Linked DNA regions of Arabidopsis thaliana. The protein of the gene in region 2 interacts with the protein of the main gene of each other region in a pairwise test. Each region holds a gene or a part of one and is shown on either strand. Other genes may lie near its edges. The genes, in order: ISPF and AT2G36580.

Evidence for each region.
Region 1: the proteins of AT2G36580 (region 2) and ISPF interact in a two-hybrid assay, tested with the Arabidopsis thaliana proteins (one large-scale study listed by BioGRID).

What each region holds. Positions count from the first base shown.
Region 1 is NC_003070.9:23,732,228-23,747,389, reverse strand, and holds ISPF (isoprenoid F), read left to right. Parts: upstream 1-7,005; 5' UTR 7,006-7,053; coding exon 7,054-7,384; intron 7,385-7,473; coding exon 7,474-7,604; coding exon of another isoform or gene 7,605-7,628; exon of another isoform or gene 7,629-7,642; intron 7,643-8,233; coding exon 8,234-8,467; 3' UTR 8,468-8,717; downstream 8,718-15,162. Other genes in the region: SPO11-2 (sporulation 11-2), read left to right, coding at 2,039-2,122, 2,219-2,302, 2,412-2,541, 2,630-2,767, 2,843-2,931, 3,010-3,138, 3,216-3,310, 3,391-3,453 and 3 more; AT1G63980 (D111/G-patch domain-containing protein), read right to left, coding at 4,336-4,401, 4,604-4,726, 4,823-5,113, 5,189-5,349, 5,437-5,533, 5,738-5,898, 5,989-6,025, 6,120-6,196 and 2 more; AT1G63960 (Copper transport protein family), read right to left, coding at 8,884-9,206, 9,972-10,083; AT1G63950 (Heavy metal transport/detoxification superfamily protein), read right to left, coding at 11,834-12,102, 12,318-12,393, 12,501-12,506; MDAR6 (monodehydroascorbate reductase 6), read right to left, coding at 13,856-13,975, 14,197-14,237, 14,337-14,399, 14,487-14,575, 14,668-14,762, 14,846-14,917, 15,048-15,128. UniProt on the Arabidopsis thaliana protein: Enzyme of the plastid non-mevalonate pathway for isoprenoid biosynthesis that converts 4-diphosphocytidyl-2C-methyl-D-erythritol 2-phosphate into 2C-methyl-D-erythritol 2,4-cyclodiphosphate and CMP. Is essential for chloroplast development.
Region 2 is NC_003071.7:15,333,128-15,350,597, forward strand, and holds AT2G36580 (Pyruvate kinase family protein), read left to right. Parts: upstream 1-5,994; 5' UTR 5,995-6,125; coding exon 6,126-6,194; intron 6,195-6,374; coding exon 6,375-6,471; intron 6,472-6,554; coding exon 6,555-6,652; intron 6,653-6,746; coding exon 6,747-6,902; intron 6,903-7,000; coding exon 7,001-7,078; intron 7,079-7,188; coding exon 7,189-7,320; intron 7,321-7,437; coding exon 7,438-7,518; intron 7,519-7,646; coding exon 7,647-7,718; intron 7,719-7,821; coding exon 7,822-7,911; intron 7,912-8,054; coding exon 8,055-8,199; intron 8,200-8,322; coding exon 8,323-8,411; intron 8,412-8,529; coding exon 8,530-8,625; intron 8,626-8,721; coding exon 8,722-8,789; intron 8,790-8,877; coding exon 8,878-8,977; intron 8,978-9,304; coding exon 9,305-9,364; intron 9,365-9,501; coding exon 9,502-9,654; 3' UTR 9,655-9,959; downstream 9,960-17,470. Other genes in the region: AT2G36570 (Leucine-rich repeat protein kinase family protein), read left to right, coding at 2,456-3,788, 3,913-4,598; ProT3 (proline transporter 3), read right to left, coding at 9,995-10,372, 10,436-10,651, 10,779-10,903, 10,999-11,188, 11,275-11,369, 11,445-11,669, 11,959-12,040; HB22 (homeobox protein 22), read left to right, coding at 16,200-16,284, 16,404-16,798, 16,884-16,961; RPL24A (ribosomal protein L24), read right to left, coding at 17,421-17,470.

The DNA.
Region 1 (15,162 bases), on a different chromosome or scaffold from region 2:
TCTTACTATATATATGTGTGTGTTTATGTAAATATATGTTTGCATAAGAGGAAGAAGGAGAAGAGGAGAAGAAAGGTTATAAGGATATTTGTAGGAAAGAAAGAAGAAGAATGAGTTAAAGGGTATAATATTGAAGCCAACTATATTCACCTAACTTTTCTGTTCAACTGCCTAAGTCTTTCCTCCTTTTCCTAGCTATATATCTCTTTACAACGTTTTTGGATCTATATATTATATAGAATCATATATTAATATATATCCAAAAATGCATGTACATGTCAAATGTACTTCAACCCATATTTTGAAATCTAAATAGTAAATATTAATCTTTAAAAAAACAAAAATTGACATCGATGGTATATATATTGAGTGGTCTTATACATTTTGAGAATAGTTTGTAGAATAAATTGATTAGCTTATTTAAATTTATATATTTCGGCACCAATTCGTAATATGTATTGATGTTTTTAGAATATGTAAATTGTAACGATTGTTTTAACTTCATGTGGAAAAACTACTCACATGTTTCATATAAACCGATCAAAATCTAGTTATATTTATGGTCAAAGTTCTTGTTGATGTTTTCCCATGACAAAGGGAATGTTCGGTAAAGGCTTAACTTGCTTATAAATTTACATGTAACAAGTAGTAATTAATTTGCTTTTATTTGCATTTCAAACGTGTGGTTAAATATAGTGTACCAACTCCATACACACACTCGTGAGCCTGAAATGCACGTCTGGTCGGTTTGAGAACTAGCTAAAATTTAGAGATTGTTTTAGATCACTAAATTTATATCATCCTTGTCGTTGTTTATAGATATTTATATGCACAATAATGGATTAATAATATTCACATTTTGTCAAAAAAAAATATAAAAAAAAATAATTTATATAACGAATTAATACGATAAGATTTTTTTTTCTCGATACCATAAGAATTCTGCGTATTTGTTCCATTGTCCAATGATATTTCCACCACGTAATATGGACTATATATAGTGGTTAATTTGAACATATCATTGATCTTTTAACTCTAAGTATGAGACATTTATATGATTAAAGTGGGATATTTTTATGAATTTCGCATCCCCCTTCATTTCGTTTTCGCAAAGTTTCATTTTGAAATTTCGTTCGTCCAACCATACATCCCCTACTAAGTTATACTACCGATAATGAAACTTATAGAAATCATGAAGTCGCGTAAAATGTTGGGCATTAAATACGGATAAATGGACTTAAGCAAATTATTGTGGTTGTGGTTGTTAAGAATCTCTTTGACCGCTCGAATAATTATACATCCAAATGTAATTAACCTATGCAAACTCATGCATGCACGTGGAAGCTTCTCATTCTCATAAACCATAAAATTATGTACAAATGTAAATCAAATGTTAGTGGATCCATTTTCTTAAAATATATTTTTTCTTTTATAATTTTTATTTAGTTGATGTTTTAAGAGAATACACACTTAATAAATTATTTAATTTTTGTTTACTTTAAACTAAAATATCATTTATTATTTAATAAACCAATAGAAAAATTATCTGTGGAATAAAAATCATCAAAACCAATGAAAATATAATAAATTTTGCATTAAAATTTTAAAATATCATATATTTAAAAACAAAAATAAAAGCTTAGAACATCACTTATAAAAAACAAAGAGAGTATATAAAATTGAACTTTCCGATTCAACTTATTGTGTAAATTAAATATCTACAAAAATCAATTGATTACCACATTGAAATATAGTTATTGATAGCTTAAAACTATACAACCGCAAAACAATTACAATTTTGGCTTGTAGTTAGGCTAAATTTTTGGCTTATATATAAAATTAAAAAATAAAATAAAATATATGACACAATTAGTTCCACATGAGAAAAAAAATCATGAACTGCATGCCGGTTTCTTATAAACAAAACGGAAGACAGTGCAAATCTCAAATCCCGAAACTTGACGCGCGCCTCTCTGTCTCTCTCAATCAAATTCAAATCAAAATTTCAAAAAAGCGGAATCGGAAAAAAAATCTCAAAATGGAGGAAAGTTCAGGACTATCATCGATGAAGTTCTTCTCCGATCAACACCTCTCTTACGCTGACATTCTTCTTCCTCACGAAGTAAGTTTCGCTTCCAATTTTGAATTTATCGAATCACTAGTCTTCTTCACTGTCGAATCTCGTAGTTCTGACTGAAATCGAAGCTCGTTGTTACAGGCTCGTGCTAGAATCGAAGTTTCTGTTCTCAATCTCCTCCGAATTTTGAACTCCCCAGATCCAGCTATCTCCGATCTCTCTCTGGTACTACTTAATCTCGTGCTTAAGTCCGTTTCTTAGATCGCGTTATAGCTTTCTCGAATTCGTGATTTTCTGGGTTTTTGAAGACAATTGAAATGTATCGTTTGAACAGATCAATAGGAAGAGAAGCAATAGTTGTATAAACAAAGGGATACTCACAGATGTTTCATATATATTCCTCTCTACTTCGTTTACTAAGAGTTCATTGACGAATGCTAAAACAGCTAAAGCTTTTGTTCGTGGTAATTGCTCAATGTCTCTCTCTGTGATCTTCACCCAAATCTTTGATTAGAATGGTATGAGAAAATGGTTGTGATTTTATTGAAACAGTGTGGAAAGTTATGGAAATATGCTTTCAGATTCTGCTTCAAGAGAAACGAGTCACACAAAGAGAGCTCTTCTATAAGTTGCTTTGTGATTCACCTGATTACTTTTCATCTCAGATTGAAGTTAACAGAAGTGTCCAAGGTCAATCTAAAGCTTAATTGCATTTGGATTAAAGAGTTTTTGAGCTGATTTTTTGGTCGTGCTTTGGTTTAGCAGATGTGGTAGCACTTCTACGTTGTAGTAGATACAGTCTTGGTATTATGGCTTCAAGCAGAGGCCTTGTTGCTGGAAGGTTATTTCTACAAGTGAGTTATTACTTGCTTCTAGCAATCCTTATGTAGCTAACATTGTGATCTCTGACCATTTCTTTACTTTACACTCAGGAACCAGGTAAGGAAGCTGTAGATTGTTCGGCCTGTGGTTCTTCAGGTTTTGCTATAACTGGAGACTTGAATTTGCTAGACAATACCATCATGAGAACTGATGCTCGTTATATCATTATTGTGGAAAAGGTAGCTTCTTGATGTAATCAAGCACATATGAGAGATGTCGTAATTGTCTGTAACTCACTCCTAGAATCTGTTTTTAGCATGCGATCTTTCATCGGCTCGTGGAAGATCGTGTGTTCAATCACATTCCTTGCGTGTTCATCACAGCGAAAGGGTATCCGGATATTGCCACAAGGTCAATTCTTCAACTCAGTTACAAAACCATATTGCAATGTAGTCAGTGGTATTAAGTAGCTTGGAAGTTAAATCTTTTAGGTTTTTCCTCCACCGGATGAGCACAACTTTTCCTGATCTGCCAATTCTTGTTCTAGTTGATTGGTAAGCATAAATAAACATCTTCCTCTTTGTTAACATAAAACTTTAGTGCTCATATGTTCATAAATGAGAGGTCAGGAATCCAGCTGGGTTAGCTATACTATGCACCTTCAAGTTTGGAAGCATAGGGATGGGACTTGAAGCATACAGATACGGTAAAGACTTAGCTGTTTGCACCAAATAATCTCCAAGTCTCTACAATGATAATTTCTGCATCCTCTTTAGCTTGCAATGTGAAGTGGATTGGTCTCCGAGGAGATGATCTGAATCTGATACCAGAAGAGTCTTTGGTTCCCTTAAAGCCAAAAGATTCACAGATTGCTAAGAGCTTATTGTCCTCCAAAATATTGCAGGTAACCAACTATACATTATACATTATAAGCAGAGATCAGATGTAATGGTCAAGCCGAAGCAATTCTAAGATTCGAATCTATAATCTATCATTTATACCCTAATTGATTTTGACATTTGCTTCTGACCAGGAAAACTACATAGAGGAGTTGTCACTGATGGTTCAAACTGGTAAAAGAGCGGAAATTGAAGCTCTCTATTGTCATGGTTATAATTATCTCGGTAAATATATAGCTACCAAGATCGTGCAAGGCAAATACATATAACACTTAAAACACCAACATGTAAGGTCTTCCACCAATAAAGATGCGTTTGCTTTATATTGGTTCCAAATATAAGAGAGTAACTTATTAGGGTGAAGTTTTATGCAAACTCTAATAGAATGTAAAAATAGATTACAATCAAATCAAAATTTTCCAAACTGAAGTATGATCTTTGTTTACATATGGCATTGTGATGATTTAGTAACAAAACTTGTCCTAATCTCCACTTTCCTATGCAGGTATAATGATAATTCCAACCAAAAATTCTCGCTCACTTCTTGCTTGATACAAGACTAATCTTCTTTCCCTCCACAACAAACTTGCCACTTCGCTCCAGCTGCAACAAGGACGTTAGAACAATATCAGTAAGAATGACAAACTTTGGAACTTTGTGTAGAATATGAGAATCCCACTTTAAAATGATTATGTTTACTAACTTCACTATCACACTTCTTTAATCTCAAATATAATGAATTTCATACGCTTAATGTAGATTCTATACGAAGATTTGGCATAAAGATTAGCTAAGATTGCATTACCTTAAGTTTCAAGTAAGCAATAGCATCTTTTCTTGAAGAAAACTCTGAAAGAACTGATGGTGCTTGTTCATCGATCAGAGATTTTAGCTGTTTCAGCTTCATGAATCCACCTTTACCAGCATCCTAAGAATGTTTTTGCACATATACATATAAGTCGATATGAGTGGTGGGATGTTTTAGAAGAATACAATGACAGTTCAAAATAAATTGACAACGAACCTTTTTAACAATCTGCTTGCACAGGTTCTTTAACTTGATTTTGGGTTCAATGATTTCATCGTGCTTCCTTTTCGCGGGAAGAGAACTTTCAATTACAGAGTCCTTGTCATCATCATCTGCTTCACTCTCGTCTTCATCTTCCTCTTCGTCTTCTTCGTCATCATCATCATCATCATCATCATCATCATCACTGTTATCAAAAGAGGTTTTCTTCCCTTCGTAACGAACACCAGCTATTTTCTTTGGCCGGTCTTTGATACCCAGTCCTTGTTTTCCCGCTGTGGCTTTATCCTACAGACATTCCAAAACGTCAATATATTATTAGATCCCAACCTCTTTTCCAAGAACAGCCTGCAAAGAACATACCTGAACCATGTTGTAAAGATTCTCTTGATCATTCTCACTAAACATTTTTCTCTCGCTAGCTTTTAATTTCTTTTTGCCCGACTTGGCCCCCAGAAGACCACCCGAGACAAACCCGGATTTAAATCCCCACCAGTTCGAAGAAGGTTCTTCAATTTTCTGTTCTGTTCAGTCCAAAAGATCCATACATTTTCAGTTCAAAAAAAAGAGCAGAAAGTCACAATTTCAAGATGCAAGGACAAACTAATCACCTTTAATACTAGCATCTTGGTCCTCAGATATAATTTCAATATCCATAGAATCGGCTATGTCACAAACTGCAGGAGAAGGATCCTCAGTTCGCTTAACCTACAAAACAGTAAAATAACGTGCCTAAGTCGGACTATCACTTTCATAATGAGATTTGTTTACATAATGGTGATAGCAGAGAAAATTCTAACAACATGCACAAGTTCACAGTACATGTAGAAGTTATGATCCATTCTAATCAACATGAATCTTGATCATGAGCGGATAAAAGACAGGACAGAACTGTTTTGAAAGGAAGCTTACCAGTATTCCTTCAAGATCTTTAGACGAGTATGAATTGACAAGCTTCCCTTTCTCTCTACGTTTATACCTTCCTTGTGGACGAGTGACTTTAGCAACGGTCTTCAACTTGGCAGGCTCAGATTTGACAGCATCATCTTCACTTTCATCTTCCTTATCTGAATCTATCGTATGCCACATAAAACAACAATCATTAGGATAAATAAGCTTCTCTAAGTCAAGAAAGAACTCAACTTAATAAGAAAAACTTATACCATCATCATTCTTGCTAGTCTTGGTAGGAGCAGCTTGCTGCAAATAACACACACACATACACAAAAAGATTGAAATTATTTCAAATATTTCAAAGAGCATAGTTAAAACGAAAGATGAACACAGCCATTACCACTTTCAATTTCTTGAGAATGTTATCGAACTGAGTTGTATCAAATGCCCATGGATTTGGCTTATCAAGACCAACACCTGCTCCAACATTTTAAAAAAATTCAGACCTATAACATAAACGATAGATGCATATACACCACACAAATATACAAAAGGCTTAAAGTAGCTCTATCTTGATTCCACAACTTCACATTCACCAAATTACATAAACTAAACTATGTAAACAGACATTTCCTCCTAAAAACCGAAAATAATGTTGTTGTTTTTTAGTGTAAGTGAAAAGTAGCTCTATTAAAGTTTCCTCCAATCTAAATTCCACCGAGAAAAATTCAAATCACTAGTTTCCATTAAGGAGAAGAAGAAGAAGAAACTAACCAGATGTATCTTGTTTGTTCGTAACTCTCACATAACCTTTGATACCTTGCTTATCTTTACCAAGTCCTTCTCCTTCTTCCCAACCCTAAAAAAATCACCAATCCAAAAAATTAGGTCTTCTCCTTTATAAAATCTCTACACACATTAACATCATTACAGGAAAATTCACTCACCATCGATTTCATAAGCTTGAAAGCGGCGGAATCCTTACATATTCCGACGTACTTAACCGGAGCTTCCGGCGCCGCCATCTTCTCTTCTAATTTTCCGGCGATTGAATGGAGACAATGCGTCGCCGTTTTTCAAAAGCGGTGCGGAAGAGAAGAGTGGGCGAGGAAGTTTAGAGAAACTGGAACAGAAAACCTAAAGCGAAGAAGTGATGAGTAAAACTCCTCTACACGTGGTCTTTAGTAAACTTCAGTGGATATGTAACATGATCGACGGTCGAGAGTTTATCATATTTTAAATGGGCTTTAGGAAGGAAAGGCCCAATAAAGAAATGAATATTTCCACCACAGAATTATGAATTGAGTAAACCAGAAAATCGAAGAAGAACGGCAATGGCTACTTCTTCTACTCAGCTTCTACTGTCTTCTTCTTCTTTGTTTCACTCTCAAATTACCAAAAAGCCATTCCTTCTCCCGGCGACGAAGATCGGCGTTTGGAGACCGAAGAAGTCTCTCTCGTTATCATGTCGTCCTTCAGCCTCGGTTTCAGCTGCTTCTTCCGCCGTCGACGTCAATGAATCTGTGACTTCAGAGAAACCAACCAAAACGCTTCCGTTTCGAATCGGTCATGGTTTCGATCTACATCGTTTAGAGCCAGGGTATCCTCTGATCATCGGTGGGATTGTTATTCCTCATGATAGAGGCTGCGAAGCTCACTCCGATGGTAAACATTTCTTGAAATTCGATTTGGTTAATTCGTCTTCTTGTAGATTTTAGGGTTTTGATTTGAGTTTGATGTTGGAATTTGTGTAGGCGATGTGTTACTTCATTGTGTAGTGGATGCAATTTTGGGAGCACTAGGCCTTCCAGATATAGGTCAGATTTTCCCTGACTCTGATCCTAAATGGAAAGGAGCTGCTTCTTCTGTATTCATCAAAGAAGCTGTAAGATTTCGACGCTTACCTTGATGTTCAATTTTGTGTGTATGTTCCAGTATTAGCTACTTCTTCTTTAAGCCTTATTTTGTGTGTGGTACTTTATAGAATGGTTCAGAATTCAAGCTAGATCCATAAGTTGATGGGATTTACTCAGCTTAATAATACTCTTGAGTAAATTATTTTCATCTATAGGAAGTCGAAGAAATATGGAAATCAGATCTTATCCCTGAACTGTTGTCATCACTCAACGATGCTATCTATAAGCTTATCACTCTTGTATACATGATTTTTGTCTTGAAAAGCCTTGGCATAACTCAATTTTCTGTTGAATTTTAGGTTCCTGCATCTTTGTATTGTTAGATTTCAACACATATGATTGATGATAAGTAGAGGTACTCAAGGTTGAAGCTATAAAGTTTCTTTCTTGTCCTGTCTTTTAAGTTATGGGTTCACATTTGGCGTAATGTGTTTGTTAAGTTCACCATGATTGACTGTGAATGTTGATTGCGTGGAAGCTAATCTGAATCACTTGTAATGATGTTATATAGATATAACAGAAGAAATGTTAGATTCTCGTCGGTATGAAGAATGATTCAATAAACTTGAGACGAGGTTTATTTGACTTTGTGTTTCAGGTGAGACTCATGGACGAGGCAGGGTATGAGATAGGAAACCTAGACGCGACGTTGATTCTCCAGAGACCAAAAATTAGTCCACACAAAGAGACAATCCGATCCAATCTGTCCAAGCTTCTTGGAGCAGATCCTTCTGTAGTGAACTTGAAAGCCAAAACACATGAGAAAGTTGATAGCCTCGGAGAAAACAGAAGCATAGCAGCTCACACTGTTATTCTCCTCATGAAGAAATAGAAGTCAAAATTGATTTTAGCTCTTTATCATATTCCTTAAAGTGTCTCATCTTTTAAGAAAAACATACTTTTGATTGTAAAGTGTAATCATCCTTTAAAGGTTAATTAATCGAATCGTTTCGTAGAAGCAGAGAAAATCGAATCATATTTTGTTGATGATTCATTGTGATTCCTAGTTCCTTGGTCAGATTTGAATATAATTGGAAACTGTGTCTTGGACTGCAAGTTCCTTGTGACACAATTTTTTATTTGTCTGTCATATAGTTGTTGCTTTCCTTGTCTACATGAATTCTTAAATCAAAATCAGAGAATAATAATATCATACTGAAATAAATACATCAATGATCAGAGAATAATCCTTACCCGTCAATATAAAATCAACTTCTGACTAATCAGAGACTTAACATACTGCAAATCTTAAGAGATTATACAGCCGTGATCATGATCGCACACAATAGTAGTGTGATGATGCATTGGACAAACCGGAGTGTCATGGTGAGACTGAGACCGGTAAAGAGCTTCTTCACGTTCACGTTCACGTTCACGTTCATTTTCTTCTTTCTTCTTCTTTTCCGCAGCTGCAGCGGTTTCCGCTTCCTTCTTCGGATCGAACGGGCCAAATGTAGCCATTTTCGCACTCTCCCATCTCTTTTTGAGTTTTTTGAGAATCTGCATTTCGTCAAACTCACCAATCACCGTTAACTTCCCTTCTTTTGAATCCATGGTAATAGTTGTAATTCCTGGAATAAAAAGTGTTAAGATTTAGGTCTTGAGACTAAGGAAGATCTTTTCAAGGTGGTAGGTTCTTTTGAGATTTCAATTCATAATCCATAAAGAAAACCAAAAACAGAACGTATTATTATTATTCAAAGCTTTGCAGCAAAAGCTCATTAACAAGAAGAAACTTAAACTTAAACTCACACTCAAACTCAATAATGAGTGATTAAAAGATTTGGTTTTTCACTAAATAATCATGAACGAGACAAGAAAAATCAAAATCATTATTTAAGGGATCATATCATAACCCATGAAGAATCACATAAATAGAGTCTGTGTGTGTAATCGAAAAATCTTTGCCTTTTCAATTTAAAACGCATGAACAGAACAAAAAAAAGTTTTGAGGGTTTCAAATCAAAACTCATCAAAAATCTCAAGAACAGGGGAATGTGAGTAACGAAAAGCTTTGCTTTTTCATTAAAAACTCATGAATATTACTACATAAATCAATTTCAAGTTTTGAGGTTTTTAATTCAAACCCTTAAATGATCCAAAAAGCAGAGTGAATGTTAAAAGCAAAAGCTTTTGGCTTTTCACTAAAAGAACAGAAGAATTAGATCCATCGTTGGAGATAGTCTTAACAGCAATCATTTTTGTAGGGTTTCAATTCAAAACGACAGAACCTACAACGAATCTCAAAACCAGAGAGTTTGTGTAATGAAAAGCTTTGGCTTTTCAATAAAATCACATGAGCAATAAAAAGAAGAAAAAAATTGGTGCATGTTCACCTGAACAGCTAGCTACTGTTTGGATGACTTTCTCCTTAGACCTCTCGTCGCAAACATTTATCATCACCACCATTTTCTGTAGAGAAAGTGTGATTAGAAGAAGAACAACCATTAATCAAAATACTCCAAAGTCTATAAAAATTCAAAAGACTCATTTTTCAGTACTTTGAAAACCAAATGACACATTACCTTCATTTTCTTTGTAGAACAGAGAAGAAGATGTGGTCCACAGTAAAAAGTTGGTGTGCTTTTTTTATTCGTGTAAGCAAGTCGATGATGCTTTATGTCCCAAATAACAAACCGCCACATTAAATGGATTCAGAGAAGAAAAAAAACATAATGTTGGAATATCATAGTGTTTTGTGATTTAAATTTTTTTTAGAAAAATGTTTTCTTCAGTAAAAAACAAGAGTGTGGATTTCACTTGTGAGAAATGGCTTATGGATGTTTTCAACTGTACTTGTTATTTTCTCCTGTGGTTCTTTGGAAATTTCTTCTCTTTAATGGTCCCATGATGAGTGTCCGTCGATTATTGATCGTTACTATATCCAGTAATTTCCATTTCAAAAGTTTTTATATTGTCAAAGATTCTTCCAAGGTCCCTTTTTATGGTAAGTTCATGTTCATCATATGGTTTTGTTCATCATGATCAATTGTTTTTAGTACCAACCGCCAACATCCATATTTTGTTTGCATTTTGTACTTCTTCTCCAATAAACAACGAGAAATAGATCATGAAAAATCCCCGAAAATCATATTTCAATTTGTGTTATGTGGCTAGCCAGACACGTCATTTATTTCTTAGCTCCAAATGTTATATTGTCCTAATTTTTCTTTTTGGCATATGTTTATTGATATTATTTTGCTTTATAATTCATTTGCACCACAATATTCCGTTTTTTTTTTTATGTGCGTTAAGACCGAAATGAAAGCATTTGAGTAAGCATTGAGTAATTTCCACGCACACTTTATGCAAGTTATTTCACTCGCGATCACAAGAAAACCATGTCGATTTTACCAAAAGAAAACAAAAAACCATGTGGAAGATATCTCTTAAATTGTTCATGAAAACTCTATCTTAATGGTCCTCTGTTAGTTCTTTTTTTAATGTCGACTTATGCTTCAAGAAACCATGTGAAAGTCTCTAAATTAACAAAAGTATGTGTGTTTTCTAGAAAATCAAACCACTTATAAAATCATTTGTAAAGGATAATTTGTAATTTCTGAAGTTCGCTTGTTTAGTATTAATCCCTTGAATATGTTATCCGTCACATCAAAGAAACTGTGTTTTCATAATTTTTGGTCTTTGAGTTTAACCTATTAGCAAAACTTCACATGGTAGTTAAAATTTGTCATCATTAATATTGTTTTAAGATTAGAAAGGACTCTCATCTATAACGAGTGGATCCCACGCGCAAATTCTTGTGGAACATTTCTGAGTTATGTGGCTTACCAAACAAATCATTAAGTTCTTAGTTCCAAATCTTCTACTGTCCTAATTTTTCTTTTTGGCTTAAATTTAGAATTGATACTATTTTGCTTTATAATTCGATTTCACCACAATATTTCCTTTCTTTTTCTCATTATCTCACAAATTCAAACATATTTAGCTGTCTTTTTGTAATTGCTTTTATAATAATAAATTAGTTACTTGACTCAAGAAAAACAAATACTCCAATTACTCAAGCGAACACAGCTAAAAAGCCTAAAATAAAGGTCAAATAAAAGCATCCACGATCAAACTCTACAATTCATCCTTACTCATAAAATGTCTTTATACATTAATTAATATGAACTATAAATCAAACAAATCGAAATAGTTAAAGTACCTTATGTCTTTTTATTCATTTTTCTTTAGAACTCTAGCAAATGACACAACCTTGCTCCTCCTTATCATTGAAAATATCACGAATTTCACGGTTGTATCTGTAAAGAGCTTCACGTTCAATCTCTTCCCTCTTCTGCTTAGCCTCAGCAATTTTTGCTTCTTTCAAAGCATCATAAGGTACATATAATGTTAATTTAGCTTTTCCCCATTTCTTTCTGAGGTTTCTAACCAACTCCACAGGATCAACATCTCCCATTACTACTAGTGTGCCTTCTTTCAAATCCATATAAGATGAGTGAATTCCTGAAAACAAAATATTAAAGATATGGGCTCTGAAGTTTGGGAAACTCTGTAAAACTGAGCTTTTCTTATGTAAAGTAAAAAACAGAGCGTAAAAGATTAAATGTTTGTTTTTTTGATAAAATAAATCAAACTTTTTTTAATATAACAAAGATCAAATGTTTGTTTATCTTTTCTAAAACTCTTACGAAAATAAGTTTTAATAGGATATGATTTACCGGGTAAGTCAGAAATACTCTTCGTGATTTTCCCTTTGGATCTCTGATCATAAACACCCATCCACACAATCATTTTCTGCAGAAATTGCATGAGAATACAAACTATAAATTAAAAACACTCGAACTGTGTATAAATTAAAAGATTGTTTTTTTTTTTTGGTTTGAAAACCATTAAAAAATTACCTTCATTTTTAAGAGAACAGAGCAGAAGATGGAAGAAGAAAATGAAAATGTCGATTATTCCAAAATGCTAACAAGTCTATGCTTTATATACCAAAAAATGAAAGCAACATGAATTGATTTTATTTTATTTTTGTATGCAAAAACATGAATTGATTTGGAAAGGAAAATAAACAAGCGATAGTTCTAAAAAAGGAAAGCTCTGATACGATATACCACACGCGCCATACACAAACATAAAAATTGTTTTCTTCAGTGGAGAAAAACGAACGTGGAGTTCACTCGCGACAAGTGCGTCTGGTTTTTCATCTTTCACTTTACTTTTGTTGGTCTTACTTTGGTTCTTAGTCAAAGTGGTGAAATGCTGATGATGCACTGACGGTCGATAATTACTAATTGTTTCTAACTTTTTTTTTATTAGTCATATACCAATTTCAAATTTGTTATTAGTGAAAGAGTCATTCAATGCCTTTTTCTGTTATTGGATTTGGCATCAATTGTTTTTTTTAGTTTTACCAACATTACACGTTTGTTTGCATTTTGCAATATTTCACCCATTAAAAACCGAGGGTGTTGTTTTTGCAAAACAATGGTCTCTTGTGTTAATCCAAGAATGATGTCATATTAAAATATAGATCGAGTTAGAGAAGAGTTTATAACAGTTTTGACATCTTGGCCGAATGATTTCCCCTATCAATGATGAACCTTGGCTATCATAGATATTTACCAACCACAAGGTTCTGCAGAATCACGATTTTTTTAGTTTGTTATTCCCACCATTCCGCAAATTTATACGATTTTGCAACATTCATAACCAATCATAAAAGCCCAACCTATCATAGATTCATAACCACTTTGACACTTTCTCAATTGTAGAACTCATAGGCAGTAAATAAATTTCTATGGCGTATGAAACGCGTTTAGGCTACAAAAACCTTTTTACATGTCGCAATCAATCCCACAAGACTCTATTACGTGCCGCAAAACAAATCCTTGCGTGAATTATAACAAAGTCTTCATTATTGTTTATACAAATTTCGTTTATGGTTTACAGTCGATAAAAGAAATCTAAATAAATAAATATTTTAATGATCCACGAAACAACCCATAGATCATGAGAAAACGATCTTTATCTATCTCAGTGACTAACATAGATTTTATTAGAAACAAAGCTCTCTAATGAGCAAAATATGATTATCCCAAAAAGAGGTTATAAATTATTCGAGGAGATTATTGACAACAGTGCTCTCTATAGATCATTTTTCCAATGGAAAGATGAATAACTCTCACCGGGAATAAAAGATGTTGATTTCTCTGAACCCAAAAGCTATTAAAAAAACTCCATGAAGTTTCCTTCTCTAACTCTGTAGAGCGGCTTGAGCAATCTCGAGAGCTTCTTCGACTGAAGATGCGCTTGCGAGTTTAGCCTTATCGACAAGTGGTTGGCTTCTTGCTAGCTTTGGTAGAAGCTGGAACTCCTGTTTCAAGAGATATACATAACAATGGAAGCAATTAAAATCCATATAGTTAACATATTTACATGAAAACAAAACCCATGCTGATGTAATTGCTATTGTCAAGTTTCAATGACCGTTCCAAAATATTCTAATTTTAGTCTCGCAGATCTAAAGAAGCATGATGCTCTAAAGATTGGCTAATTCAGAATGTTAACGAGGGAGATGCTAAGAAAGACTCTTACCTCAGGCGATCCGCTTTCTACTAGAACACCTTTCAACCTGCCTGTGTTACGATAATTACTCATCAAAGTTAGTTAATTTGCTAAGCTGTGTATTTGTGCAAGGTTAACTGAAGTGAGAAAAGGCTGAAGGAATTATTTACCAGATTCAATCCAGAAGGTAGCGATTTTCGGGTCAAAGTTCCCAACCTCCACTGTTTCTCCCACTGGCCAGTATGAATCAGTGGTTTAGCTACAGTGGAAATATTGTTTGAGTAATTGGATGGCGTCATATTTAGGTCAAATAGATTTACCATTATCTCCGAAAAACTGCCACCACACTTTTCTTGGGCTTCCTTCATACTCGAATACTCTTGAGTAGAAATATGGAAGATAATCGTACCTGCAAATATTGAGCAAGACAAGAACTAATAGGTGAATATCCGTTAAGGGATACAGGCAAAGTCTACAGATCTTTCCAGGGAAGAAGCTTACGTGTCAGTGTGTGCCGTGAGTAGTGATTTCACACAGTGTTGTGCAGAGCGGCGGGCGTGATCAACATGTTCAACTCGAGTCATCCTATCATATATCTGGTCATCAGACAATAAGATGATGAGTTTGCACTTCACGAGATAATTGATGGCTTAACATATATTATCTAGCAGCAAAGTACCTTCAAAGGGAAGGCTGCGACATCTCCAATAGCAAAAATTCCAGGGGTACTTGTCCTGAACAAGCCATCGACCTGTGGTTGAAGATGAGCTCTTATCAAACTTTTAATTGTATCAACATACTGATGTAGTTTCTTGTGAAGTTCTAACTCTGAAAACCGATTATCTTGGAAAATAAATCCGGATGTTTTGTAATAATAATACCTGAATTCCTCCAATTGATTTGTTCATGGCCAAAGTTTCAAAGGGGCCAATAGCAGGCTTAGCTCCAATTCCAATTACAACCTGTAAAGTAAGGATACACAGGTCGTACAAAAGT
Region 2 (17,470 bases):
TTATATTAATATAATTTATATTCAATGGATATTAAGTTTCAAATATCAAATAATTTAGATTAAAATGCAAAAAAGAACAAAAAAGTCATGATTTGAATTTGGCCGAATTAAATCATTTCAATGTAGCTGTCTTTTAAAAATGTTATTTTTTTGTTTTTAATGGAAACAGTAATTAAGTGTTACATAGAAAGTATTTTATTTTGACTAACATACAATGCTAAGACAGATTTGTTTTAGTATACGATAATTATATATTTTAAAAGTAAAAGTTGGGAATTTGAATTGGCTTGGCCAGTTATACCACTAAAAAACAAATTTCTTAAATGGAAAACGCCAGCGGGAAGCAAAGAACACGAGTCAAACCTTTATAGTTTTTTCCACTTCTAGATATTATATAATTAAAGTACAAATGGAAAGAAATATAGATTTTGACCAATTTAAAATAAGTTCACGGAATTTGTTTTTGATGTTCAGAAAGAAAGAAAATTATGTATATTTGGAAAACATCAACGGAAAAAAAAGTAGTATTTGCTAAAACAAAATCTACAACAATTGCAAATCATCAAGTCCGGTAATTTTTTTTTATTTTTGTATTTTTCTTCAGTCAAACCGATGATGTGTTGTAACGTAAATGGCATCTTTTTCCAAACTCAGATTCTTTTTTTTTGTGTTGATAACATTATAATTTCGACCACTTTAAGCCCAAGGCCTAAGGCCCAACTGTATAGCATAACGTTTACCGTCAATGCTTGGGCCAACATAATAAAACCAAGCGCGCACACACACATCAAGCCGACACATTCGGAAAGACTAAAAGAGCGACCCAAAGGGAACTGTGTTTTTTTTTTTTTTTTTTCTTTCTTTCAAAGAGAAGCAACGAACATTATCAATTCAATATGTTGTTATCTCCCTGTTTAAAGTTTCAGGTTGATTCAAGTTCTTCGTAGCAGAGAATTAGATCAAACGTAATCTACGTGAAATGCAAATGCATGGCCACATCGTAGCAGAATACAACATCACTACATGAGTCGTTCCTTCTCCAATGTTTAACAAAATATTCAACAAGTATACAAAGCTGACACTCTAGTCAAAAATTTGTAATGGTTATAGTCGTAGTTGTTACTTGTATGTATATTACTTAGTAAATCAAACATTCTTAAGATAGTTGTTTTAAGTAGAATACAAAAACAACCTAAAACTGTAAATTTTTTGTTTAAACTTTGGTAGTATGAAGGTGTAAAAACTTTAGTAAATTTTATTCAAAAGATAAAAAAACTTTGGTAAATTTTCTGATTAGCATTTGAATGGAAAAAGGGGATGGGAATCACAACGCCAATTGCGCATTTCTTTCCTCCTTTTATAATTTACATTTTAAATTGGTTAAAGGGGTCTCGAAAATGTCGGGTTGGTAAAAAATAAGAGTGAGATTAGCTACAAGAAAGCTGACTTTGTTTTTCAAGCAAATCATCAACTGTCGCGTCGTACCAATCATGGATCCACCATGTTATTTGTTATTTTTTTGTCGGCACACTAGTGTTAATTTGAATTATTTGATATATTAATAGCAGAAATAAAATACTTCTTACTTGAAGAGCTTAAACATATTTTCATTACCCGAGAATGTTGGTTTATCAAATGTGTATATTAGTGGAAATGACAAATACGAGTCCAATAGTTAACGTAATAACTACCCTTCTTTTGGGGTTCAAAAGAACTAATTATGTTGTTTGGAGATTTCGGGAATACGAGATCGAAAAATCTATCTTATTTGGATTTGCTTTGATTCATTCTTAGTGTAAAAACCAAAAGGAAAGCTAACCTGTTATAAATTTTGATTTACTCAATATCTAAACAGAAAAGCAATTTGCACAAGTAACTTTAACTAATCTTGTAACAAAAAGACACAAGTTAAAGCAATGATATACTGTGGATACCTTTTTCAAACATTGGGTAAACTTTTTGGGCGTAGGGTTATGTTCACCCACACTATGGAGTGGAAAACAGCAATCATTCACACAACCACCACCATTCCTACTTTTTGTGCGTAGGGTTATGTTCAGAAATATGATTTACCATTATCTCCTTTTTTACATCTATCAAAGTATATTATTAACTGATTAATGGAAATTTCAGTTGATATTACTCGATAACCTTATGTCATTACTCAGTTCAATCCTTATGTTATATATGCAATTTTAACATAGAACGTACATTATTCTTCATGAGTTCTGTTCCTAATCAGTGCTATGTACGTAACTTTTGTTTTTACTTTGTTCAGTTTTTGTTTTGTCTCTTTTTTTCTTGACTATGACACTGCATTCAAAAACATAAGAAAACAGATTAAAGAAAAGAGAAAAAAGATAAAATTGAAAGATTCGTTTTTCTCAAATTTCAATAAAAAGAAAGATACATTTCTCTCTTCACACTTCACTCTTCTCTTTCCCGCCTCTCCGCCATGGCTGCTAAACCTCTTCTTCTTCCTCTTCTCCTCCTTCTTCATCTCTCAATCACCTTAGCTCAAAACGACACAAATGCTCTCACACTCTTCCGTCTCCAAACCGACACACACGGCAACCTCGCCGGAAACTGGACCGGCTCCGACGCTTGTACCTCCTCATGGCAAGGCGTTTCTTGCTCACCATCTTCACACCGCGTCACTGAACTATCTCTCCCTTCCCTCTCCTTACGAGGACCATTAACCTCTCTCTCCTCCTTAGACCAACTTCGTCTTCTTGACCTCCACGATAACAGACTCAACGGCACCGTTTCACCACTCACAAACTGTAAAAACCTCAGACTCGTTTATCTCGCCGGTAACGATCTCTCCGGTGAGATTCCTAAAGAGATATCCTTTCTTAAACGGATGATACGTCTTGATCTCTCTGATAACAATATCCGTGGAGTTATACCAAGAGAGATTCTCGGGTTTACCCGGGTTTTAACGATCCGGATCCAGAACAATGAGTTAACGGGTCGGATCCCGGATTTTTCTCAGATGAAGTCACTTCTTGAATTGAATGTTTCCTTCAATGAGTTGCACGGAAACGTCTCCGACGGCGTGGTGAAGAAATTTGGAGACTTGAGCTTTTCCGGTAACGAAGGATTATGCGGGTCGGATCCTTTACCGGTTTGTACTATCACAAACGACCCGGAATCTTCTAACACTGATCAGATTGTTCCGTCGAATCCTACTTCGATTCCGCATTCTCCGGTTAGCGTTAGAGAACCGGAAATTCACAGTCATAGAGGGATTAAACCGGGAATAATCGCTGCGGTTATCGGTGGTTGCGTGGCGGTTATTGTTTTAGTATCTTTTGGTTTTGCTTTCTGTTGTGGAAGATTAGACCGTAACGGCGAAAGATCAAAATCCGGAAGTGTAGAGACTGGTTTCGTCGGAGGAGGAGAAGGGAAGAGACGAAGCAGTTACGGAGAAGGAGGAGAGAGTGATGCGACGTCGGCGACAGATAGGAGCAGACTTGTGTTTTTCGAGAGGAGGAAACAGTTTGAGCTTGATGATTTGTTGAAAGCATCTGCGGAGATGCTTGGGAAAGGGAGTTTAGGGACGGTGTACAAGGCGGTGTTAGACGACGGCTCAACGACTGTGGCGGTGAAGCGGCTTAAAGACGCGAATCCATGTCCGAGGAAAGAGTTTGAGCAGTATATGGAGATTATTGGTAGGCTTAAACACCAAAACGTTGTTAAGCTAAGAGCTTATTACTATGCTAAAGAAGAGAAGCTCTTGGTTTATGAGTATCTTCCTAATGGAAGCTTGCACTCTCTTCTTCATGGTAAAACTCTCTTCTCTAAGCTTTGATTATCAAACTGAAAATGCTCTGTTTTGCTTAGTGACAAAAGTGTTGATTTTTACTACATTATCGGCCAAAGTTATGATTTTTTTATTGGTGGTTTTAGGGAATCGAGGACCAGGACGGATTCCATTGGATTGGACGACGAGGATTAGTCTAATGTTAGGAGCAGCGAGAGGATTAGCGAAGATTCACGACGAGTATAGCATCTCAAAGATACCACACGGCAATATCAAATCCTCTAATGTTCTATTGGACAGAAACGGCGTCGCGCTAATAGCTGATTTCGGTTTATCACTTTTGCTAAACCCGGTTCACGCTATCGCTCGGTTAGGAGGATACCGTGCGCCGGAACAGTCGGAGATCAAACGTCTCTCTCAGAAAGCTGACGTGTACAGTTTTGGTGTGTTGCTTCTCGAGGTTTTAACAGGAAAAGCACCCTCGATATTCCCGTCTCCGTCTAGACCTAGATCAGCGGCGTCGGTGGCTGTGGAGGAAGAGGAAGAAGCGGTGGTTGATTTACCGAAGTGGGTTAGATCGGTGGTGAAGGAGGAATGGACGGCAGAGGTTTTTGATCCGGAGCTTTTGAGGTATAAGAACATAGAGGAGGAGATGGTGGCAATGCTTCATATCGGTTTAGCTTGCGTTGTGCCTCAGCCGGAGAAGAGGCCGACGATGGCGGAAGTTGTTAAGATGGTTGAGGAGATTAGAGTTGAGCAATCTCCGGTCGGTGAGGATTTTGATGAGTCACGAAACTCAATGTCTCCGTCGTTGGCTACCACCGACGGCTAAGTTTGGTTTCTGTCTGTCGATGTTGTAGAATACGTATCGTTTGGACCTTGTCGATTTTTAAGGTTCTTGCTTAGAATCCCTGATTTGCGAACTTGTCGGAGTTTTTTTAGCCATGTTTTGTGTTTTCACTGTTTGTGATCGTAACGGGGTTGTGTGGTTTTGTGGATTTATGAAGCCGTTTCAATAATAAAACCCCATTTGTTACTCTTTAAAGCCCATTAGGCCCATATGTTTTAGATGAATTATTTTGCAATTGCTGCTATTTAATTATAGAACCTAAAACTCGAACGCCCATTGATTAGTGCTTCTAGAACGGTGGATGCTTCTGTGTCCACTGGTAATTGTCTTTTTGGTTGAAGAGTCAGCCCTTCGGATTTGACCTTTCGTGTACCTTTTAAGCCCATTGATTATGATTGGCAGATTAAGTAAATTAACGAATGGTCAAGCACATGATTAGCCAAATCATGACAAATAAATGGATTCCTTTTTCATTTCTGGAAGCGGAATCTTGTCTAACAATTTTTTTAATTGATAGTAATATTTTATGTTATGGGTTTCTGATAGTTGAAGACTTGAAATGTTGAACTTAAAAGTGAAATTACGCTTTCATAATTTCATTAAGCCATGATGGCAAGTTTTTTTTTTGGGTTGAGGTCAACAAGAGCAAGTTTAATGGTATCGAATAGTGCGTAACTGAAATAAAACTTGTTGAAAAATCATTCATTCACTATTCCTCGGCGCGTGAGGCCAATTTGACCCCTTCCCCCACGAAATTAAACTTGGGGAGTACTAAAAGTCTAAACCAGCAACGTCGCTTTTCATGTGCCTTAATCACACCCTTTTCTGCCACGTGTACGATCTGGGACCGTCGTTGTGCTCATTGACATTTGTAGATCCCTTTCTAGATGTTCATTAAAATTACTTAATTTATATCCAGTCCTTCTACTTTTAGTTTTTTGATACTTTAATCCCTGTTGTTTTAATGATACTTCATTCAGTATCCATCCAAAATCAAATTAAATCCATAGATTAAGATGTACATTTTTGAAAATAATAAATGGTTTATTATAATATGTTACTAAATTTATGGTATTTTTCGCTCTTGTATTGACTTTTACATGGATACATTAATTTTAATCTTCTTTGATTTCTGTTAATTTTCTTTGAATTCATTTTATACATTTATTAGTGAACTATTCTAAAAATTAACAAAATCATTTAAACCGACAAAAAAAACTTTAAAAGATCAGCGTATTATAAACCAACGGGGGATAGTTTGCATTAGGTATTGGACATCTGGGGGGTAAATAGAGCGAAACAAAAGTTGAGGCTTGTTTTTCAACATTTTCATTTTATTGTGTGCTATTTAAACTGCGTCGTATTTGGAGGCATATTCGCCGGTCAAGCGTATCAAATACCCAATCACGCGAACTTTTCTCCGCCTCTTCTCCACTCCAAAATTCTTCTCCGTCTTTCTCCCGTCACCGTCGAATAAAGCCTGAGATCTCCGAATTCTGATCAGCAACTATGCATTCAAGTCATCTCCTTCTCGAGGAACCGATCAGGATGACTTCAATCCTCGAACCTTCTAAATCAGTGAGCTATTTATTTCTCCTTCTCTCGCTCTGTGTGTTTTCTGTGGTTGTTTTGATTTCCTTAGCTCGTTGTTGATTATCGATTACGTTTGGATCTGTTGCGATATTTCATCCATTTTGAAGCAGTGAGAGATTTGTTTCGTTTGTCGTGGTTTTTGATCCGCTTGATGTTATTTCGCAGAGTTTCTTCCCGGCTTTGACTAAGATTGTTGGGACTCTAGGTCCGAAATCTCGATCCGTCGAGGTGATTGCTGGTTGTCTCAAAGCTGGAATGTCCGGTAATTGCGATTACTTCACTATTTGATACGTGATTCGCCTGGGGTTCTCTTTACTGGTTACTGATGTGTCGTTCTTTTTGCAGTGGCTCGATTCGATTTCTCTTGGTGCGATGCTGATTATCACCAGGAGACGCTGGAGAATCTGAAGATAGCTGTGAAGAGCACTAAGAAGCTTTGTGCTGTATGTTTTCTCTTTTCTTTGGTTTTGCTCTGCTGGATCTTATTTGGTAATGCTTAATACCATGAATTAAGATTGTGGTTTATGGCTTTTCCAGGTTATGCTAGACACTGTAGGACCTGAGTTGCAAGTTATTAACAAGACTGAGAAAGCTATTTCTCTTAAAGCTGATGGCCTTGTAACTTTGACTCCGAGTCAAGATCAAGAAGCCTCCTCTGAAGTCCTTCCCATTAATTTTGATGGGTTAGCGAAGGTTTCTATATATAACCCTTACCGTTTATTTTTTGGGAGAAGATGATTATTGCTTCGTGTCTATAGGGTTTGATGGATGTTATTGTTTGATGTATTCAGGCGGTTAAGAAAGGAGACACTATCTTTGTTGGACAATACCTCTTCACTGGTAGTGAAACAACTTCAGTTTGGCTTGAGGTATAAAAGAATTTTGCTTATGGAACCACTCTACACTGTTCTCTGGAATTCAAATTTAGACTTTAGATGTTTTTTTTGTGAGAAGACTAACCATTTAAACAAACCTTCAGGTTGAAGAAGTTAAAGGAGATGATGTCATTTGTATTTCAAGGAATGCTGCTACTCTGGGTGGTCCGTTATTCACATTGCACGTCTCTCAAGTTCACATTGATATGCCAACCCTAACTGAGAAGGATAAGGAGGTAAGTGTTGCTTATAATTTACATATCTCAGTGACTGCTTTGCTCTGTCTCTAGTAATATTCTAGCTTATCTGTTCGAGTGCTTTAACTATTTTGTTCTGTTTTGGTTCTCTTCTAGGTTATAAGTACATGGGGAGTTCAGAATAAGATCGACTTTCTCTCATTATCTTATTGTCGACATGCAGAAGATGTTCGCCAGGTCCATATTCTTTTTCATAATATATTTTTTCCACCTTAGAAGTATGGCTACTTCGTTTGGGTTCTTTACTCACTACTAATTCTGAGCTTCTGATACGCTTGAATTATCATTTTTGTGCCACAACACAGGCCCGTGAGTTGCTTAACAGTTGTGGTGACCTCTCTCAAACACAAATATTTGCGAAGATTGAGAATGAAGAGGTAAGTGAAATGCATTTATTTTGCCTTTACATGTTTCCTCTGCAACTTTTCTGTGATGGTGCTGTACTGCTGTTTATATTTACCGATGTGTATTTGATTTTAGGGACTAACCCACTTTGACGAAATTCTACAAGAAGCAGATGGCATTATTCTTTCTCGTGGGAATTTGGGTATCGATCTACCTCCGGAAAAGGTATGATGTTGGTCAGTCAAATCAATACGTTTGGGTCCAAACCCCTACGCACTTTCTATGTAGATTGGTGTGTGACTGTGTGTCTTATTAGACGATTAGTGATTTTCTGGAACGAAGTACTAAGTTGACCGAAAAACTTGTAGGTGTTTTTGTTCCAAAAGGCTGCTCTTTACAAGTGTAACATGGCTGGAAAGCCTGCCGTTCTTACTCGTGTTGTAGACAGTATGACAGACAATCTGCGGCCAACTCGTGCAGAGGCAACTGATGTTGCTAATGCTGTTTTAGATGGTATACTTAGTTTCTGAAATATGTATTTTGTACTGCTTATAATTTATAGGAGGGAATACATATTTGTGGATCATAGTTTTGGTCATAACTTTAAGAGGGTTTCTTTCCTTTCGCTTCCTGCAGGAAGTGATGCAATTCTTCTTGGTGCTGAGACTCTTCGTGGATTGTACCCTGTTGAAACCATATCAACTGTTGGTAGAATCTGTTGTGAGGTAGGCTTTATCGTACTGTTCTAAAGTATTATTATTTCCATCACCTTCTTAGTATCTCAATCATCTTAGCCATGGTTTGTCATCTGATTTCTCTTATGCATTGATTACTTGTTTATAGGCAGAGAAAGTTTTCAACCAAGATTTGTTCTTTAAGAAGACTGTCAAGTATGTTGGAGAACCAATGACTCACTTGGAATCTATTGCTTCTTCTGCTGTGAGCCTCTCTTTTGTGTTACCTATGTAACTTAAAAGCTGACAAGTTGCCTTTCAAGTTTTCTAACTTAATGGCTTAAATTCTGCTTGATATCAGGTACGGGCAGCAATCAAGGTTAAGGCATCCGTAATTATATGCTTCACCTCGTCTGGCAGAGCAGCAAGGTTCACACCATTCCTTCCAACTTAAACTGTTCGTACATTTAAATTCTAATGTAGCTGTCTAATAAATGTTTTATCCATATCGTGAAAGGTTGATTGCCAAATACCGTCCAACTATGCCCGTTCTCTCTGTTGTCATTCCCCGACTTACGACAAATCAGCTGAAGTGGAGCTTTAGCGGAGCCTTTGAGGTAAACTTTCATCCTGATTGTGTGAATTTTGAAAAAGAATTGGGATTTTCTAATGCCACTTGTCAAGATTCAATGATTATGGTTGTTACTTGCTTATGACTGCATATACTATTTGGCAATTGTCCCCATGATGCAAAGGAATAACAACTCTTAAATGTGCTTTATAATTGAAGATAAAAAAGAAAGTTACCCTTTGGAATAATGTCACCTCTTATAGATTTCTATGTATGACTAGAAAAGCTTTTGTCATATCTGAATTGCATATATGGACTTTCTTTTGATTATTGCTCAAACTTAACATCGTGTTTGTGCCTATTGTTGTCTCAGGCAAGGCAGTCACTTATTGTCAGAGGTCTTTTCCCCATGCTTGCTGATCCTCGTCACCCTGTAAGTCTCTATTGCATAGAATTTGATTCATTGCAAAAAGATTCTTGCTTGCAAATTTAGTGCTATAGTTGCAATTGTAACTTTAGTGGGGTTTGAAACCGTATTTTCTCTAATGTATTGTGAATCCTCTTGTTCAGGCGGAATCAACAAGTGCAACAAATGAGTCGGTTCTTAAAGTGGCTCTAGACCATGGGAAGCAAGCCGGAGTGATCAAGTCACATGACAGAGTTGTGGTCTGTCAGAAAGTGGGAGATGCGTCCGTGGTCAAAATCATCGAGCTAGAGGATTAGAAGAAGCAGAGTGAGTCGTTGTCTCGGTCTTTTTTGTTCTGTTACTAATCAATTTTATTTCCTTCACTAAAACTCTTGGTGCCGTCCAAGAAAAATCCTTGCAATCATTGTTTCTCGCCGGCTATATGCTAGATACCGGAGTGAAAATATATCTCCTGGGCTTTTGTTTTCGTATTTAGGAGATTGATGTTTCCAAGTTATGATATAAACCACTTTCCACTTTATGCATAATATCTCCATCCCCTAGTAACCATAGTTCTATATACATTGTTTTATTGAAAATTAATTTTATTGATAAGAAATCCAACTAAGAATAAATACGATGAGTATATATTATGAATTACAAATCTGCAAAAACGTGGAAGTTTTTGGAGTCAAGGGCGATGAGCCTAAGAGCTGCAATGGCGGCAGCAACAGACATCAAACTGAAGAAGACAACGTTGAGCCAATGGCATAGCTTTTGCAAAGTATTGAGCTTATTGTTCTTAGCCTTATAGTACATGTGGTTGGCTAGAATGAATGTAAGGGGGAATGTGCTCACTGCACCAGTGAGGCTCATGAAGTCCCCAAGGAACGGCAAGAGTGCTGAGAGAAGCGTACTAACTGCTATGTACCCGCCTCTTGCCATGATCCTAAACAACAAGTTCTTTAATGCCAATGGGTTTCCTTTGATCCCAAACTTGGTGTCCATGTACTCATATGTTGGACTTGCAAAAATCTACAAAAATTGAGTAAGAACGGATTGACTAACACATAATTCTTTTCTCGAAGAGAAACTTACGTGCAACGAGATAACGGATTGAAGGATAGCGGAGATGTTAGCAAGGGCTTTAACCCAAAGTGGACCATTAACGTTGTTTAGTAGATAGGGCGAGGTCGAGGATCCGTAAGCCCAATACCCGATGAATACAACCGCAAACATCGGTAAAACACCCACCGTGAATTGAAAGTATAGAGCCTTCATCATGTTTTTTACTACTGGTTGCTTTACTGTTGCCTATCAATATCATGACGGAAAAAGCAGTGTAGATTAGAAGGATTGTCAAGCAGTGTAGTAAAATACACACACTAAACCTTTGAAGCCTAAAACATGAAGCTAAAAATCTCGAAAAAAAAGAAATCACCTGAATTTCTGGAAGCATCCCTGTGTTGAATACGAAAACTAGTGTAGCGGCTGCTCCAGTGATGGTAAAAAGTTTGCTTAGTGGTGATCCTTGTATCTCGTAATCTCTTGAAGGTGCTTTAACTCCTACAAAAGCAAAAATATAAGGGAAGTATCTGAATTGTCAGAAGCTATAAAATCCATAAGTAATGGCTAACGCCTGATCATTACATAAGTTATACCATCTTTAACCGATAGCACGATTGCCACAACGATATAGATGAGGCTGAGGATAGTCGAAACCGCAAGCCATATCCCAAGAGCCGACAAATGAGGAATTCCAATAGCAAAAACCGCACAAATCAGACCCGCAATAGCTATAAAATGAGGTAACTTCATGGCATGATCATCCCTAAAAAGCACATAAACAGCCTGCAGAAAACAGAACACACCCCAAACATAACTGACTTCTGGCTCACGGAATCAAGAATCAAGAGAGAAAAATGTTTACTACGTACCTTTAAGGCGGAACCAGCTAGTATGATGAAACCACAATTAATCATGAAAAGATTGACATATTGCAACACCCATGTAAGACAATAAGCCTTTCTACCTGAAAAAGAGATAAATATTTCAGTGAAAGTAACAGAGAAGATAGAGAAAGATAAAGCAAAGAGAGCTGGTTTACCGTAAATGAATCCCGCAAGGTCTCTATAGCGAATGTGTCTTTTGCCACCAAACTCATGAAGCTTGGCTACGAGAGTGTTTGCATAGAGTGAGATTGCAGTAGCAAGAATAAGACCAACCACACCACCAATCCATCCTAAAGGAACCATGACTGTTCCTGAATATCCCAACACGTATGCGCTGTTTATACTTGTTGTCAGAACGAACGCTGCCTGAAACCATGAATCTGTATATTCCACAAAACTTACTAATTAGCTTTCCCCAATATGCGATCATATCAGCTTCTAAACAGTTCCGCTTAATATTGCAAACATGCATAAAGAAGAAGCAAATGGAATTCTTAGGTCACATTTCTTTCTTTCTTGTAAATGATTTTCATAGTTTAAAGAAAAAATAGTAATAAAGAAACTGAAATTGAGCACTAATCCAACGTTAATTAAATAGATAAATTGAGAAATCTTAAGCAGTAAAATTAATATAACAAAACAAAAAGAGGGAGAAAACGAATGACAAACCGCTGCTAATCTGATGAGCAGTGTCAGGGATTTCGATATCAACACCTTCCCCGACATTGTTTATGCGATTCTTAGAGTTCATGACCTCTCCAAATGGTTATTGTGTCTCTGTAGCTAAGAGACTTTCCCTATATAATAGATGGTCGGTAACAACGGGACAGACTATGGTGAGAAATCAAGTCCAACTAGAAGTGGCGGAGAGATTTTTAAAAGATTTTAGAAATCAGAAGTTGTTGAACAGTTTCTTTCATTATATACGAATTACGAAGCAAGCACAATTAAAATGTGGTGAATGAAGAAATTTCTTTGGAATTGAGTGGTTCAGATCTAGACACAATCATTTACTGCAAAATTGGGATAATATATGAACAAATTGTACAAATGATAGTGTTAGACTTATCACAAAACAATCCAAAACAAAAAAAACATCAACTCTGAAATGTATGTGGCTGTGAATTTGGAAAGACACTTAAATGTTTCTTTAGACCGTTGAAGTGTTGTTGGGAAATGAGTGTACGCAGCTTGATCCTTAAAGATTTTTTGGACATTTCTGCCGTCTTGTTGTTAGGCTGAATAAGACTAGATACGAAAATATGTAACGTGACACGAAAGATAATAAATAGGCCAAAAGTTTATAGTGTACTAAATTCTCTTAGAGTTTTGACTTTTTATTGTTTGATTTATTTAAAAAGTGGCCGGCCGGGACCTCTATCAACACATTTATGTTAGACCAATTTTTTGGTTGAATACTTAAAACCATTCTTTTCAAATGTGACATCACAATACGATATATCAACATCCGCTAAAACTGAAATAACACTTTTTCTTTTTTAGAGTATACATAACACTGAAATTGAAATTGAAAGCTAGCTTTAGAGATCTAATGAAGAGTTGCAACAATTTTGATCTTGTAAGAAATTAAATCAAAACTTTGTCCAAATCTATTCTTTAAGGTTATGTCCCCGTTATACACATGATTTGCCTCTGTTATTTCTAGTAATTGTATGTTAATCTTTTTCAAAGAGATTTATCGTTTTAGTATATATATAAATGTAAGTAGGTGATAGTACAAAAGCGCCCGTGGCCTAATGGATAAGGCGTTTGACTTCTAATCAAACGATTGTGGGTTCGAGTCCCACCGGGCGTGCCAATTCTATTTTTGTCCATCTATAAATCGGCCCATTGTTGACAGTGGTCGGCCCAATTATACTTCGAATGTTAGTTATTGTTTCCATTGCTGATAGATCGACAGGACGGTTTTGTATGGCGATTTCGGCAAGAGGAATGGCGATAACTGGAATCGAAGATCACAGATACTGGAATTGGATTGAAACAGAAGAATGAAGGTACAATATTTCCGAAACTCATTGAACTTAAGTAGAATTAGCAAGTAGATATCAAAGTGTTAACACAGAAGTAGATGATCAAGAGCATTGCAATACTTGGTTTGTGATCATGTTATTTGACCTGTTTTTCGTAAACTGTTGATCTTTGGCTCTCAGTTTTGTGAATCTTTTAGAACAATTCTCTCTCTGGCAGATCAAATAAGGATTGAAAGTTTCCATATGTTCCTTGTGTTAACAAAAAAAAGTATCACACCACAATTATTCCGGTTCAAAGTCCATTTTTTGCTTGTATCTCATACTATAGTTAAAAACTTGTACCATTTCATATCACCAGTCGATTCAATATGAACATGTAAAGTGGGTACAAATTGTGATTACTTAAAAAAAATGAAAATAGATAGGCTTTGACAATTGTAACTTGAAAGAAAAGGGTCTTGTTCAAACGTAAGGACCATTCTTTAAAAGGGACCATTTTAATGTTAGGGTAATTGTTAAAACGTAGTTTAAGTTGTTATTCCAATGTCTATTTTCGTATTGAATGTTGATTTCGTTTTCACGACGGGGAGACACGTGACAGTTTCGACTTAAATTACCAAAAAGGTAATAATGGCAAATGGAAAGTCAGGTTCTGTGACTTCTGCCTTCCACTTGTTGGCATTTGGCAGTGCCAAAGTACATGTCAGAAAGATGTTATTGTCAAATTTGTCTGTAAAAAGAATTCTTATACTAGATTTCACCATGCTCTCTGTTTAGCAAGTACGTAATATACTGAAAACATTAACCGTTGGTTTTGGTGTTTAACTAACATGGAATTTTGACCTATAAAGAAGGAAACAATTCTAGTGAGCTTCTTCTTTATACGAAAACATTCAGTAAATGACACAACACGCTGCTCTCTTGAGCTTTATTTCTCTGTAACTTTATACTATATGGTCCTCGTTTTTAGATTATCATAATATAGCTTTCTTCGTAGTACTATTTAGTATTTACTCACTCAATTTATCACTTCTACACTCTCTCTATTCATTGGATTGTGACAATAATAGTTACGTATCTCGATCCCAAAGTGTTGAATTCAATAGATTTTAACAGGCTTTATACCTTCAGCTTCTAACAGAGATGCTTCTTGATTTAGCTTAGAACTAGCAGATAATAAGTAGATCTCTTTGGCATCTTTGATTATCCATCATGCTCCTGATGGTTAATTATTCTGTTTATATGTAACTTTTATTGTAGTTACATTCTCATTATTGATCCCTTCCAACATTGATGATCAAATATATCTTCGATCGGGATTCAAAAGAGCCTTTAACTAATTACTCTTATCTTCTAGCGTTTGTAGGATTTTTGTTCGCTTTCATTAACATATGTGAACACGAAAAGTTAAACCAATTTTTATGATTATAATCTATTACAAATTTATTTGGTTTACATTGTTTTATTTTAAGCAAAATCATATGGGACTAGTGGCTCTTTTTCCGTTTCCCAACTTATACGTGTTTTCGATACCACATGTTATATAAAAAATATATATAATTAACAATATTTCCAAATGCTTATGAAAAATTAATAATGATTTAGATACAGTTTTGTTTCTGGTAAAGATGTATAAACTAATACACAAGGGAGAAATAAATTATTAAAAAAAAGTCAGTTTAAAAAAATTAGGATCACCGGTTAAGATTTTTTTCTTTGAAAATCTTTTATTTTTATTCAATCCAATGACTTGATACAGAAAAAATATCCCCATCTTGAAATCACATCAAAAATTGGCTGATGTAGTTGTTACGTGCTTTGGAAATGGAACAAAATATACTTATGTCAGTCACAATTAACGTTTAAACCGTAGAATTTGATTTAGAGAAACATAACTAGTGCTAGAAACTTCATCTTTATCTAACCATATAAGCATTTACCATTTCTTCAAGATAAGTTGCATCATTCAATTTCTAACTATACTTTATCGCCGGATCATACCAAAAAAACACGTAGATCGATATGATGATACTATTTTCACTAGTGCACTGTGTGCTCCCAAATTTTGTCAGGATCAGAATTGGACCCTTCTGATCTATCTGTTGGAGTAGCACCCTGCAGCTCCACAGTGTTAAATAAAGATTGTGGGGACTTTACAAATACATATACATACAAAGAGATGAAAACTGGAGGCTATATTACAGATTGAGAGTAGAAGTTTGAATTCATATATGTCAGATTGGTTGGTTAATTAAGGTAGAGAAAGTGATAGACATTTGTACAAATGTAGAATCTGGACCATTCTCTCTTTTCTTTTTCACCTCTATCTCTTACTCTTACTGTTCCTTTCTCAACTCACATTACTTTCATTTTATTTTATTCTTTTATATATACTAAAATCCACATTAATTGGTCACGTATAATACGAAATACCTACGTTATTACTTATGTAAATATCTTACTTATGGAAACATACAAGGTCATGTGAGAATATGAGAATAATAATCAATTTTTAACAAAAATTTCAAACTAAATAATCACCATTAACTTTTTTTAGCTCGTTTTGTATCGTATAATGCATTTGCTCAACACCGCCTATTCTTACCCTCATCGTTCGGAGTACTATTTGTTACCGGTCAGACTAATGAAACCATTCATTTACACATATATTTATCTTACTTGATAGTGACCAATTAGTTACCCGAAGTTAAAAACAGAAGCCCTAGCGTTTTCAACCACATTTACTTATCTATATATAATGTTCCTGCATGTTCTAACATATGCATATAGTGATAAAGATACACCCATATCAAACACCCAAAGTTGCTCATTTCCTTGTTTAGGTAAAAAATAGTCTCTTGAAAGTGATTGTTGTAAGCAGAGATAGACAAAAGAGGTAAAAAAAAAGAAGAAGAGAAGATGGAATATTGGAGCAGCTCCTTCATCGATGGCGCGTCTTCTTCCAGCTTCATCTCTCCTTTCTATAACTTTGACCATTTTTCAGGTAACATGCATCCATAGTACTAGGTTTTAGTAGAGCTAGTTTATATGCTTAATGCTTAATCATTCACTCAACTGTATGTCGCTTTACAAGTCTCTCTCTGTCTTGTATTGAATTTGTAGGAAACCAAGACAACAGATGTTTAGGTACAATGATGGGTGCACAACAAGATATACTTCATGTTCCTCTAGCAATGGTAGAGAGTGGCTATGGAGAAGAAAGCAACAGTTTTAATGGACAGGAGAAGAAAAAAAAGAAGATGACGAGCGAGCAGCTAAAGTTCCTCGAGAGAAGTTTCCAAGAAGAGATAAAGCTGAATCCGGACAGGAAGATGAAGCTGAATCCGGACAGGAAGATGAAGCTGTCCAAAGAACTGGGGCTGCAGCCGAGACAGATTGCGGTTTGGTTCCAGAACAGGAAAGCCAGGTGGAAGAACAAACAACTTGAGCATCTCTATGAATCACTAAGACAAGAGTTTGATATTGTCTCTAGAGAAAAGGAATTGCTACAAGAAGAGGTAATTACTCCAGTGATCAATACTAACTTAATAAATAAGCTTTCGAGTTACAATCCATTGAGTTACTTTCACTTTGTTTCAACAGCTAATACAACTGAAATCAATGATAAGAGAGGATAGTTCATGCAAGAAGAAACAAACCTGGGAAAAAGCCTGCAGCTGAGGCAATAGTATATAAGTTCCACTTCAGTTATATCTCCAAAATGGCTCAAATTTGTAGCTTTAGTCCCAAACAAGCAACAATTTCTATGGCTGATTCTGTTTTCCTTTGTATTAAGTATTGTTTAAGTGATTTTCGTGTAAAGGGTTCTTTACTAAGTTGAAGTTAATGAAGAAACATCGTGATTCAAGAACTCTAGATCCATAATCAATGCTTAACCAAAGCTCAATTTAGCTCAGACCACTAATAATGTCCTAGAATAAGCCAAGTTGAAAATTCTATTTAGCAGTTTTTGGATCTACGAGTAAAACACAAGGGGATTGATACCAAACAAAAAGTTTTCATAAACTGAATATATTAGATCTGGTGCAAAACTAAAAAATGGCTGACAAAACAAAACAATGTCAAAACAAGAAAGAAAGATAAGTGAAGAGAGAAGAGTGGGCTACTCTATAGCTCCATTCAACGTCTGCCTCCACCACCACCCATCTTAGCAGCCTTGGGTGCAGCAC